Linked DNA regions of Astyanax mexicanus. The protein of the gene in region 2 purifies or fractionates together with the protein of the main gene of each other region. This does not show direct contact. Links are inferred from orthologs where the notes say so. Each region holds a gene or a part of one and is shown on either strand. Other genes may lie near its edges.

The links. Proteins that work in one complex are often made in the same cells at the same time.
Region 1: the proteins of med9 (region 2) and med23 purify together in Homo sapiens (co-immunoprecipitation; 3 studies listed by BioGRID and IntAct, with this or other methods). This does not show direct contact. The link is inferred for Astyanax mexicanus from reciprocal best matches to the Homo sapiens genes MED9 and MED23.

Annotation. Positions count from the first base shown.
Region 1 is NC_064408.1:41,855,674-41,863,400, reverse strand, and holds the start of med23 (mediator of RNA polymerase II transcription subunit 23), read right to left. Parts: upstream 3,108-7,727; 5' UTR 2,974-3,107; coding exon 2,923-2,973; intron 1,747-2,922; coding exon 1,715-1,746; intron 1,614-1,714; coding exon 1,526-1,613; intron 1,418-1,525; coding exon 1,293-1,417; intron 1,069-1,292; coding exon 957-1,068; intron 676-956; coding exon 577-675; intron 189-576; coding exon 87-188; intron 1-86. UniProt on the Homo sapiens protein: Required for transcriptional activation subsequent to the assembly of the pre-initiation complex. Component of the Mediator complex, a coactivator involved in the regulated transcription of nearly all RNA polymerase II-dependent genes.
Region 2 is NC_064422.1:7,758,456-7,765,378, forward strand, and holds med9 (mediator of RNA polymerase II transcription subunit 9), read right to left. Parts: upstream 3,096-6,923; 5' UTR 3,074-3,095; coding exon 2,973-3,073; intron 561-2,972; coding exon 341-560; 3' UTR 102-340; downstream 1-101.

The DNA.
Region 1 (7,727 bases), on a different chromosome or scaffold from region 2:
TTATTGCACTATGGTTGAAATAAAGCATGTGAGCATGCATGTTAACTCCCTATTTGAAATTAAGTGCAGGTGTGTGTGCGCTTTACCCAGTGTGAGAGCTGTCCCTCTGGGTAGAGTTTCCGGATTTCATTCACAGCAAAATAAGCTGGAAGGAGACAAGCATTCCTGTCCAGGATGTACTCCACCACCTTCAACAACAACAACAGAGATCCATGTTATTAATATAAATACAGTGGTCCTTATTCTCAAACCAAAAAGAAGAGCCCATGTTGCTTTCCACATTTCAACACAACTGACTTGGACCACAAAGGGCTTCATAATCATCCCAGAAATATATTTATGTTACAGCAAAAAAAACTAACTTGTCCCACATGCTATGATTTTGAATAGTAATAATGATTTGTGAGTTTTAAACAGGCTATTAAAAGTTTTAAGACTGTCTATTCTGGGGCTATCTTGTCTATCTTGGCTAGCCCTAGCTGACAGAACCAGGCTCTTCCTTTATTGTTCAATATCACTTATCGTAAATGTATTGTAATAAAAGATGTAGCTATTCCATGCTACACTGAACTATACCTCTCGCACAGGCAGCAGCTGATGCACTACAGCCGAGCTGACCAGGTTGGGGATGGTCTGAACTTTATCCAAAACAGCCTTCAGAAGGTCTCTCACACCCTGCAACAGAACACAAAACAGGTGGTTATGTTTTAGGCCATCTAACAACAGATTAACACTTCCAAGTTAACATTTAGTAAATGGTTGGAGACAGACATGTGTTAGTATTTGGTAACAAAACATATGCCCCCCGCTCGACTGTGTTTTTATTCCCTAACTATTAAAGCGCATAACACAAAATGAGACCATAGGCAAATACTCAAAACTAGTTTTTTGAATGTTAAAGTGTTAATGCATTCAATTATTCTGGAATTTTATATAAAGTGAAGATTCCACTGTACCTTATAATCAACTCCACCGATGATTTTGCGAATGAGTTTAAAGGTCAAAGCCCAGAGTTGTGTGCGTTCCCACTCCAGAGAATCAGAGTTGATCAGAGCCTGGCAGACCATTCTATAAACACAAAAACACACAATATTATTTATAATATTCATCATAATATTTTTTATTATTTACACACAGTTCACAATACACCACTAAAATCGATTAACAGTCTGTTGTGTTCATAGATCAATAAAACATTTTTTTTTTTAACTAGATTTATTTTATTAAATTTTATTATTAGCCTTACTTCTACCACTACAGTTTTGTGTAATTTGTCTTATACATGTAAGTACCTGGGGGGCAGCAGACTGGTCTCCACCGCCATGGCCAAGCAGTCATAGAGGAAGGAGATGCGTTTTGGACTGTGCTGGCTGTGGATAAACCTCACGATCCACTGCACACACTGCTCATGGGACTCCTGCAGAAAAGAGCAGCACTGCATAATGCCCCATGATATACTTAAAAGTTAATAAAAGGACAAGACAATGCCCTGGGGCAAAGTGGCACAGGTTTTTGTGTAACTAACCTCAGGAAGACTGCTCCAGTATTGCCTGAATGCTCCTAAACAGCTGATAAGTTTGGTTCTTTCATCTTCAGGGGTGTCCATAAACATCCTGTAGTTATAGAAATATAATTTATACTTAATTTAGAAGAACATGCCACATAACCACAAATGTTTGTATGATGTAAAAACTCAATGTATACTGTCACATACCCAGCGAAAGCCTCCTCAATTACTTCTGTTTTCTGAGGGGTAAAAAAAAAAAACATGAATTTTTACAAAGCTTTGATTATGAATTACATAAAACGAAGACATTAATAATCTTATGAACACAAGAAATTGGTGTTATCTTCCATTTTTAAGTGTATAACAGCAACATTTCTAATTTGTATAAAAATCAGTCAGGGGTGGGCAACATGACTTTAAAATATTATCATCATAATCCAATCTATTTTTGCGATAACTATAGTCTGGAATGACAAAAAAAGATCAAGAATACACTGCTGCAACAAAGACTGCTTTCAAGAATATTGCTATTATCACGATATTCAGTTTTTATAGTCTCACATTTGTACGATATTAATAAATATGATACAATATGCCACAGCCCTAACTGAAGTAAAATATCTGTGTATCACAATGACAGAGGGGGATTTTGTGCAAAGCAAAATGTGACATCATTTATAATTTTCTATTTTGTAGAATTTCCCCTCAGGGATCAATAAAGTATCTATCTATCTATCTATCTATCTATCTATCTATCTATCTATCTATCTATCACACTTTTTTTAGGTGGAGGTCAAAACCAAAACTGCAGACTTTACAACGTTTCTCTGCACATTTTATTTTTAATAATCAGGCTCCAGATTTTAAGATATGGCCAAATATAGGTTATATATATAGTGTGTCTGTGGTGTAGCTGGCCTAATTTTGATCAAAATAAGTGTATTTTTCTCTGAGGCTGTTTAAATCAATTTATTCTACCTCAAGCTACATGAACACTTTAACTGTTGCTTCTGGTTTTACTCCATATTTTCTGAGATAATTAGGTTATGTTCAGATAACGTTAGCTAAACTCGGTAAGTGAATGGTTTATCTGAACCTTAACCGTCATTTAGCTAACTCAGAGAGCATCGTAGAGAAGACAATGGTAACCTAGCTAATGCTAGCTAACCTAAAAGCTAAGCTAGCTAACGTTAGCTAACTCTTCATACAGCTTTCAGCGTGGAGATTAACCCCCGTTTACTAAGGAGCTAATGGAATGCTTAATACAGTGAAGTTATAGATAATCATATCTGAGCTCCTGTTATAAAGTTGGGGGAGTTTAAATCAGTTCAGTTTTTCTGATAAGGGCTAGTTTCTCTAGCTCGGCTAAAGCGACTCTAACTCTCCGTTTCAGCTCCAGAAACACAAACACGCACCACCACGTCCTCAAAGATACTCTGCAGCTGACTCTCCATCGGGACCGCCATGGTTTAACCCTCACAGCGTAGAAAAAGCGCCGGAATATTTTACACTTAGTTTAATTTCTGCTTTAGATACATGATCAGCCGCTCCTCCTACAGCGGAGCCGCCGCGCAGCTTCAATAACAATCCCCCCTCCTGATCCTCCAGCAGCCCCAAACCAGGGTTCCGGATCCAGTAAAAACACTCCTCCTCCTCCTCGTTATTCTCTACAAAAAACTGGCATATTCCACAGAATCTGTGCCATTTCTGTCTCCAGGAAATGACATATATAAATGTGCACACAAAATAACGTTAAAATACATTTTATTAATAAGCATAGTGTCTTGACCTAATTGCAAAAGTAAGATATGTAATATATATATATATATATATAGAACACTGAAAAAATAGCATTTGTTACCTGTCCCCACTCTCTATAAATTTTACCATAAAATATAATTATTAAAATCCTTCACATGTAATTTTCTTGCATTGCTTTGTGACTTCAAGTCCCATGTATGCTTTAAAATATTTTCCATATAAATCCATAATATTAAATATCCATAATATACATATATTATATCCATAAAGTTAAAATACACATTTATTTGTGTCCCTGGTTTTCACTCTTTCCTGTTACCGTCACACAATACCCCATCTGAAACATCTAGAACAGGGGTATTTAAATAGAATTCAGTACGGTCCAGTTAAAGAAAATTTTGCCAGGCCAAGGTCCGGACCTTCGCCATTTTTAACTTGCGTTATGATTTAGTATTATATCCTGTACACTGAAGAAGCCTTGTAGTTCTGTCAGTGTTACAAATTACACATACTAGTACATTTCAACAATATGTATTGTTGTAAATAGGTCTGTCACAATAATTACATTATCAACCTATCATAAAATAAATTAAAACACCCTGAATAATTTAACTTATCGAGTCTATTAATGTGAATCTGTATGTTAACTTTGTTTCAAAATGCTATATATTTATTCTATTTTTATTTATATTAGATTTAGGCCTGCCTGTCATGATAATTACATGAATGACAAATCATACAATATATGGAGAAATGTTTGCTGAACTTGTATCAGCTTTGTTTAAAAACAGCAGTTTTATTGTATTTAATATTAGTACTGTATCAGACTTTATTATGTTGTGGGTAAAACTGATGGGGGAGTTGTCAATGCTTTTTGTCCTCTGGGGGTTGCCTTAGTTTTAAGGTAGGGTTGTTTCGGGAGTAGAGAGAGCGCCTGCGAACGAGGGAGTTCTGATCAGGTGGAGTAAAGTGGACTGTTTTGCTCGGTTACATTACATTATCATCTTAATTTATTTTTTATTTTCTCGCTTTATTCTCCGATTTCTCACCGCCTGCTTCGCCTGTGTGGCTCCGTGCTCCCGCATATGCACAGATCTGATTGGCAGAGGAGAGCGTTTGCTGATCTTACAGCACACGTGATTGGGGTGTAAGTTTAATGCGTCGCAAAGCACGTGAACCATAAAAACAATAAAAGTTCCACCGCTTTAAATGAACACTGTCAGAATTAAATCCTTCTCAGTAGTTTATTGGTTTGGGTCCGGATTGGACAATGTCTGGGTCCGGACCCGGACCGCGGTCCGCCTATTAGTGACCCCTGAGAATATTCTACAAGTCACATCTACAACAGGAAGTTCCATCAGCTGTAAACAACATGCAGCTATATGTGTTGTTTCTTGAACGACATTGCCATCCTTAATCAATTTACTTTTATAAAAATACAGCTAACCTGTACAACAGTGGATCCTTTTAACTTTGTATGAACTCTTCCCTTTCCCCCCCTTAGTTTGTCCTTCCAGCAAAATTTGAGCCTAATTTGTCCTGCACAGTTTAATGTATTTATATGTTTGTATTTAGAAATAATCAAAGAATTAAAACATAATAACAACTAATGTTCTGTATATTTATTATCAACACAATTTGTCCCACAACAAAAGAGGCTTTATATCTTTATTTATTTATATACTTGTGTTTTATATTTTTTTGTGTGAAGGGAAACTGCATGGTTTGGCTGCTGACTCATCACCATTTTTAAAAACAAATATTCCAGTCAACAAAATATGATCAATGGTGTTAAAGGCTTTCATTTAAAATAATGAACATCGTGTGGCTCTATAAAGACCATGAGCAATGACATAAATATTATACATAAAAAAAATGTGGTGAGTGATGCTCAACACTAGGGGGCAGTGCTTCCCCAGAGTAAACACCACAGGTCGGATTTAAAACATGACCGCTTTGCAGTGGAGTCAGTAGGCTGGCTACTGAAAAGAGAAGGGTATAGCTGCAGCCTGGAGCACCTCCAAAGGGGAGGAACATTCCCTTCAAACAGGCGGAGCCTACCTCCAAGTAGGATGGTGCTTGATGTTACGCAGCATGGTGTTTTTTACAACGTTTTGTGCTTGTAAATAACCCCAAAGGTTAATTAATTAATCTATTTCGTTTATTAAATGTTTGTTTATATTAAAATGCATTTTCTAAGAGTCTAAAAGCATGTTGTGCACATTGCAACTACATTTTATTTATTTAAAACCTTTAAACATTTGCCATGCTGTGAATTTTTCAAATTATAAAATAGTAAAGATCTAAATAATAAATGCAGTTGTTTATTCATAGCCAATAATATTATAAATACATACACACTACACGTATATTATTATATTGACATTTAAGAAATATAAATAATCATTAATTGTTGACTAATATATTTATTGACATCCATGAGCCTTTTAATCACGGAGGACTTTTGTTGTGGCATTCGGCAGAGAAATGGAGCTGTGTTGAGTGATGTCTCCCTGCCTTACGATGTAGATTTTTATATAATATAATATAATATGATGTGATAGTACATTCTATATAACATTAAATTTGATGTAATAGAATAATAGTAATAATAATAATCACGTAAGACTTTTATTATGACATTCGTCGGAGCCGTGGTGAGAGAGGTCTCGCGCACAAACGCGCTCCCAGTCGAGCTGTATACTGTTGATGGACTTCCCACTTGGAGGTAAGCCCCTCCCCTTTGGAGCTGTGGACGTCCCATTTGGAGCTAAGCCCCTCCTCTTTGGAGGTGCTCCAGTCTGCAGCAATACATACTTGACTGAAAAGCTCTCATGGTGTCTGTTTTATCTGAAATGTGGTTGCTGTTGGATGATTTGTGAGGCATTTATTGACAGTGACATGTTTATGTTATTCCCCTGACCTTAAAGGAATGATTTAATCAAATGTCAGATTTTCACAACTTCTCCGAATATTGTTTGTTTGTTTGATTAGTTACACTAGAGCTGCTAGATTAATGCAGAGGAAGCTTATAAACCAGCAATTAGCATGATGCTAACTGTGTTCCTAAATATCACACACTCTCCTCAGACTGAAGTTGTTAAAGCAGCCAGGGGCGGATCTAGCCATTTTGGGGCCCTCATTCTTAAAACACACACATAAACCAAATAACTAGAGATGGAACGATCGATCGGCAGTGTATCGGTATCAGACGATGTTCAGCCAAATACGGTATCGGCGATCGGCAGATATTCTTCTGATTTTAGCCGATCTGATTCAGGAGTTTAGGGATAAGCAGTTTATCAGAGCTGTGTGTGGATGAAACTGGTGAAACCGGTGAAACTGCTCGCTTACAGGAAGCTGCAGTTCCTCATCCAACCACTAGTCGGAGCTGCAGCAGCACAATCCCCGCTGTCCAGTGTTGCCAACTTAGCGACTTTGTCCCACACACACACCGCTCCACGAACACATTGTAAATGAATCGCGCGTGCCCACAGCCGCCGCTGACTGACCCCGCTCTGTATTTACAGAGCAGAAGTATAAATATTAAAGTGCCTTCAGTGTAACACGAACAGAAATCCCTTAATTTAATTCACAAAGTCTCAATCATTCACTCACCTCATTCACCACATAGCCTGTCACTCACCTCCTCCACAGTGTCTGCCTCTTTATAAAAAGCTAAATATCTTTTGAACCATTGAACAATTTGTCTATGATAGGTTTAAAAATAAAGAAAACTTAAGAAAACGTAAAAAAATAAAAATAAAATAAAACAAATCTAAATACAAAGCTAAAAAAATTAATAAATAAAACAAAGCTAAATATCTATTGAACCATTGAACAATTTGTCTATTATAGGTTTAAATATAAAGAAAACTTAAGAAAATGTAAAATAAATAAATAAATAAATAAAACAAACAAACTAAAAAAAAAACTGAAAAAAAAAAAACTAAAAAAAAAACGTAGAATAACAGTTCCGGCTGCTGGCATGGCAAAAAAATAATTTATGTAATTCACATAAAAATTAAGTTATTGTAAACAAAAGTGACGTCCTATTTAAAAAGCAACAGAAGTTGTTCATTTGTAACATTTCTAACATATTTATGGTGTTTTTTACTCCCTTTTTTCTCTCCCACAACCTTAATCCTTTACAGCTTCAAAAAATATATTATGCAAATTAGTTAATGACGTCATTTAGCGACTTCTAGCGACTTTTAGGACAGCCAAGCTACTTTCCTTACTGTGGAGTTGGCAACACTGCCGCTGTCTTTATTCAGTCAGACCTACAGCCCAGCCACGGGCTACAGGCTCAGCTCAGACAGTCTGGAGCGTTTTTTTTTTTTTTTTTTTTTTTTTATAAGGAAATAAAGGTTTTAACCCCACTAACCGGATAATACAGCTCTCTACAGTTCATCTTTCAGCCCAAGCAGCTAACAGCAGCAGTTTAGAGCAGCCGTCA
Region 2 (6,923 bases):
GACTCACCAGCAGTGATCAAAACATGATCAAATGTTAACAGTGCTGTTACCACAAGCAAACTACAGCATACGGACTGCTTCAACTGAAACGTGAAAGGATATGTTCTTAGAAAATATGTTTGGTTTATTAGACACAGCTTTGACATTTTCAGCAGTAAAAAATAAAAAATAAAAAATTATCTAACAGCAACTAAAGCACAGTCAAAATCAGTAAAGTCACACGAATGATGGGGAAAAGCACAGTCCCTTGTGTGGAACAGTTCTTTTTCAGATGAGTTTGTCTGTCAATAAATAATCCATCTGTCCTTATTTACTCTGTAGAATCCTCTGATCCTCTTCCTCAGGAAGGCTTGGGGATGTCAAACATACACAGGCCCTTGTACTTGTGTAAGAGCTGGTTCTTGGTACGAACCTGATCCCTAAGCGTTTGCAGACGCTGCTGCTGTGCTGATGGACTCGCATCAATGCCAGGCATAGCTGAAATCTGCTCCCGTGCCTCCTGAATCCGTGCTCTCAGTCTGTTTAACTCCTGGTGAACATCCTGGTTCTCTTTGTCCATGCTGTGGATGCAGAGCCAGATATATCCATTTTAAAAAAGACACAGTGCAGGTAATACAACAGCAATAAGTAAAGATGAGTATCAAAAATCTGTACTTTAACAGGACAAGATTAGTAACTTATATTATTCTACTGATTAGCAGCTATGACTCTATAAGCATTTCTAAAATTTAAGGATTCAAGGAGACTTTATTGTGGTTCACATTAAATGTGGTGCATGAGACTAAAGACAACTGTATTCTCATGGTCCAGTTACACCAAAAAGAGCAATTGTTAAAATAGTTAAAATAATATAAATATAAGAAAAAAATAAAACAGCATAAAAATAAAATAATATAAAACCATACATACAGCAATATGAAATCAAGAGTGCAACTTTTGCTATAGCAGCATGGAAATGTGTGAACGAAAAGCAGTAACATATTACATCCAAACATCTGATTGGCTGTCAAATTTGCATTGCTGAATTTTATCATAAATACTTCAGAGTGGGTTTGGGGTTGAATGCTCTGTTGTAATGAAACTTACCAAATCAAATTTGTTTACAGAATGTTATTACAGCAAATGTTTTTCAAATACACTGCCTGATATCTGAGATACCCCTGGCAAAATGTACCAAAAAAGTATCTGTTCAGATTCACCACCACAATTACATTTAAAACTTTAACCTTATTTATTTTAGTGGTGGGCATGACGATATTTTATTGTAATAAGATGCATTTTCTTATTTAATTAACATTAAACATGTTTATGCATCAGTAGTATAGGAAAGCATTTTAATTGTATATTTTATGGATCTGTCACTACTGATGCATCTTGACCCCCATTTCAAAACAATTTTTCACCACCTTCCTTAATAATAGCCTTTTTTTTTTTTTACCAAAATTGTTGTGTCTGTCTAAAGCATCTCTTTATGGTGCTGTATTGCCACCTGTGGTAAATTCTTCTACAGCCTCAGCTGATCAGATTATTTGATTCTACCCCCTTAGGAATAATGCCCTATTTCAGAATGACTTAAGCTTTATTATGCCTAATACAAGTTTAATTAAGTTTCCTTTTATAATAATAAAGGCTACAAATAGACTATGCATTTTGCATGGCTGGTTAATCTTATTAGGTTTTATTGGGGTTTTAGTCTGCATTTTTGTCAGCAAAATATAACTAAAAGCATTAAAAACAAAGCTAGGTAGAAATGTGCTACAATTTGTGGCTGTTAAAATGTTTTCTGTCTTTAATTGTTTTTTGTCTTTTCAAAATTTTGATATAGCACTGATTCTGGTTTGTTTTACTGATGGGTTGTATGATAACTTTTTAAGAGGATAGTTTATCATCTGAAAAACGTGAGAAAATGTATTTTATTTTGATTATTTTAGGAAAGTGTCGATATTGAAATCTGATTATGATTAATTTATTTGTTTATCCTCCAAAGCTTTTGGTCAGTTTCTGTATAAAGTGATATTTGGACAAATTGTGGGTCACTGTAATGTTTATCAGTATTTTCTGACTATGAGAGGCAAAATTAGAGTGTGTATTATTTTTTTCTATTTGGCATTATGAAGAAAATACGGTTTTCATCCGTTTTCCCAATGTTCTATTAATCAGGAAATTTCAGGGAAAAAATGAATTTATGTTACTATTTTTCCATCCTGTTGCAAAAGTAGTTTGTAACAGATTAAATTAGTTACACTGAACATCTGGGTGTAAGAAACAGACGTTATAGAAAATAAAATAAAGCTACACTAGCTAAAAAAGTTTACTTAATGTTAGTTAGCCAGCATGGAAGTAAACAAATAACAATACCTAGCTAGCTAGCTAACCTACAAGTTTAGCTGAACAAAATATATGTTAATTAATGCTTATTGTCCTTAGGGTTTTGTTGTCAGCAGACATTCATTGGTGCAATAAGAGTTACATGTTTGTTTAACTGTATAATTTGGACATAAGTTTATAGAGGCTGTGTTAGAGTGACCCGAGTTTGGAATTGTCCGTTCCACCTTAAAGGTTGCAGCAGTTAGCTAGGGTTAGCTTAGCTTAGCTACGTTCTGGCGCCTCAGATGCTAGCTAACCTTTTAAGGTGGAACAGACAATAGCCACAGCACTCTTTTACAGCGTCACATGTAGGTTAGCTGTTTAATTACACTTTTATGCTGCCTTATTTATCCTGCATATAATAACAGTGTATATACAGCTCTATATTTTACACATCTTTAATTAAAATAATACTGTTTCTCGAGCAGTAAAGCGGGAACTCAGAAGCTCTCTGCTAACTAGCGTTAGCCTAGCTAACCTAGCGTTAGCTTTTGTAGCTGGTCCCGATAGTTTACCGGCCGTAAACCGGTATTTTCTGTATTCAGACTTTGTATTTTGGGCTTGTTCAGTTGACGACAGTCTAGTTTAGGGCTGTAAACTCTTACCATTTGATAATATCGTGAATTAGAGGTAAAAAGGAGTAATCCTCCGTCTCCTCCACCACAGCCACAGCGCTCGCCATCTTCAGCTGACTGTCCTCTGACATCACAGTCCTCTGACATCAGCAACACAGACCAATCTGACTATTATTCAGATTATTATTATTAATAATATTAGCTATTAATCACTGCAAGGCTCGCGTGCCTCGGCGTGTGACGTTTCTTTTTGTCTTTGTTTGCATTTGCATTTTTCACGTATTAAACACATGTATTCAACTCAACTCAACTCAACTCAACTTTATTTATAGAGCACTTTAAAAACAACAACAGCTGCAACAAAGTGCTGTACATAGCACATTATAAGATAAGAAACAAAATACTAGAAACAATGACAAATTAAAATGTAGGTATCAATAAAAAGTTTCAGATAAATCTAAGAACTAAGTAAAGTAAAAGTAAAAACAAAATAAAATAAAAACAGAAATAAAATAAATAAAAATAAATAAAAAATTAAAAAAATAATTAATTAATAAATAAAACAAGAACAAAGTCTTAAGTTGGGTTAAAAGCCAAGGAATAAAAATGAGTCTTTAGCCTGGTTTTAAACGTGGACAGTGACGGGGCTTGTCTGACATATAGTGGTAGGCCATTCCACAGTTTAGGAGCCGCAATTGAAAAAGCTCTATCCCCTCTAAGCTTGCGTTTTGACCTCGGCACCTCCAGGAGCAGCTGATCAGCTGACCTAAGGTACCGAGCGGGGGCGTGGGGGCAGAGCAGCTCAGTGAGGTAAGGCGGAGCGAGTCCATTTAAAGATTTAAAAACAAATAAAAGAATCTTAAAATGAACTCTAAAATGCACAGGCAGCCAGTGGAGGGAGGCCAGAATGGGAGTAATGTGCTCTCTCTTGCGTGAACCTGTTAAAAGTCGGGCAGCGGCATTTTGCACTAACTGAAGGCGTTTAAGGGAGGACTGATTGACCCCAAAATATAGTGCATTACAGTAATCCAGCCGGGATGTAATGAAGGCATGGATTACTGTTTCAAAGTGCTCATGTGTGAGAACTGACTTCACTTTTGCCAGCTGCCTAAGGTGGAAGAAGCTGGACTTGACTACTGCACCAATCTGGCGATCCAATTTAAAATCACTGTCCATCTTAAAACCCAGGTTAGAAACTGTAGGTTTCACATACAGCGCCAAGGGGCCCAAATCAACAGGGGGGGCTTCACAAGAACCACTGGGACCAAACACCATCACTTCTGTTTTCTTTTCATTAAAATTCAAAAAGTTTAAAGCCATCCAGGCTTTAATGTCATTAAGACATAACAGAAGTGGTTGAATAGAGAAATCGTCTTCATTTATTATGTTCTAATTAAAGTATCAGTAAAACATTTGGACACACCTTGACCCTTTCAACTCTGAGTTATGTTCCAAAGAGGGATAAGTATAAAAATGCTTTTTTTTCTACCTTTAATGCACACAAAGTAAGTAACTAATACCATAGTACCAACATTTTTATTTAATATGCGATATTGACCTTTATATGTTACAAACCATTTCTACACAGTGAAGTAAACATGGTTAATGTGTCAAAAATCACATATAAAATTAGTTAAAATAAGCTCTAATTACTTTGCCTCATTAGCATTAAGCCCTATCCGGATGGGATAAGTTTCTCTGTAAAAAAAATATTTCACACTTCCACTCAGTGATAAAACTCTTGCAACCAGACCTCATTTAAAAAACAGGAGGGCCAGTGAGTTTTTTAGCTTTCTCGGTCACATGACATCATGTTCAGTAGCCCCTCCATTTCCACTAGCTGTTGTGTTTACGAGGATCTTTGTGAAAACCTGCGCCCAAAGTGTAATTACGGTGCGTAGCAGTGGACAAATAGCTATTTTATTAAATGCGAGGTGATGGAACTCAGAGATGTGCGTCCGGATGGGACTAAATTACCAGAGGACCACGGAGTTCAGTGAAAAACTGTAGGCAATTCAGCCTATAATTTTCTTAGAGGACCCCTGAAAAAAACACATAAATGGTCGTTCTGGATGGTCATATCATAGAGGACCCCCATAATAGAGAAAACTAGCAAGCTGCCAAAGTCAGAGCAAACCTGGCTCTTAAAAGAGAATGGCACACGGATAGGTTTATTTCACATTATGGCCAAAACACACCCATGATTAATTAAGAGAATAAGAACGAGTTAGTTTCAATCTGTACAAGGTGTACTTTTCCAGTCGTTACAATAGCAAAGGCACACTGATTCACCCTAAATCAAGCTGCATGGTGCACGGTTGGTGGCTCACCTACAGATGACCTCTGTTGCACAGGATAAGTTCATCAACCTTACCAGCCTCAGAGTTACCAGCCTAAGAAACCTCAATTTAACAGCACTCCACTCAGACACAACTACTGCAAATTTGTGGTCTTTACTCTGACTCGAACCCTGGAAAGTCTGGGTCCTGATTCAACACTAGTTACTCTGGGCCGCTCTTACGTGGGACTTATGTAAGAACCTTTTCCAACCAGCTAAAACATCACATGGTCTCTGGCAGAGCTGAGCAGCATCCTGGTCAGATGAGGAAAGCTGGAGAGCACTATAGGGACCACATTGTTTGTCTCGACACACAAGGCTAGGGTTGGACAGGGAGATGATCTTCAGAGGCTTTTTGATTTAGCATGAAACAGTGAATCTGCAGCATCTGTGTATCGTTTCATCCACGGCTTCCTCCTGACTGGAACCAACCTACGCATGAGTCAGGCAATAGTTCAGTCAGAGATGGGATTTAACACGGCCGAGTCTCTTACATAGCTGGAGATCACGGGTGTGCTGTGGAGCTTTAAAGATATTCTGGATTATTCGTTTCGGGTCAATGTCTGATCTCTCCTTAGCAATAAAAGATGGCAAAAACATTGGTCTATTAAAAAACTGTTTACATTTTCAGATTCACCCTGTTTTCTGTAACTGTTTTTTAGTACGGTGTGATGGATGCAGCACCTAGGAGTAGGCCATTGTAAACTGGGCCACATCTGGACAAGGCTTACCTGTAAAACACCAAAAAACCCAGAAAACATACAATTTTGGGCCCACGCCCCAGTTAAGGTTCTTTGAGTTAAGATAAGTCTTCTGTAGTTCAAAACTAACAAAGTTGTACCCACACAGCTAATTCATGGTTCTCACTACTACACAATTTTAGTGCAGAATATTTTTTTGTAGTTTTTCCAAAAAGATGTGGCTAAATGATTGCAAAAGAGTCACAGAAGCACAGCAATCATCTAGCAGGTTTGATATCTGGACCAGTTGGCAAGCAACGACAACCTACAGCCAATGAGAATGCATATAGAAAGAATTAATGTATCTTCTGCATTGCATCACTAGTTCTTGTGTGCATTTGTTTTTGGAGAGCAGCAGATGATTTTGTGAAAAATTTGGTCTTACTAATGTGTCTCTAATAACTGTGTAGTTACACATTAACAATCCATGTAATAACAATGTAACTACTGTCAAAGTACACATTGTTACAGATAAGAATAGCCCTATTTGAGTAATGTTTTAATTCATATTATGGCAAGAACTACTCAATTAAGCAAAAGTCAACAGGACCACCCCAGAAGAAAAATAAACTTTTCACTCTTTCAACCCTAGGAGTTTCCTTGCTCTGGGACAAATCCAGTATATTATTATTTTTTTTATTGATGCATATGGATGGCACAGCTTTCACTACTGCCAGTGCTTAGTTCTTTTTGAGAAATTGTTGTTGTACTTTGTCTTTTGCGCCTCACATCTGTGACCCCTGGAGCATTTCTTTATCTTGTTTGTATTTTTTATGCCAGAAATCTGCATTGGGCTTTCTGAGCAGTCTGAACATAGCCTTGGTAAGCTAGTTAGGTTTCTATCTTTATTTTTTTATTTTCACAGCACTGTGTGTGTGCATTTACACACTTCGCTACACTGGA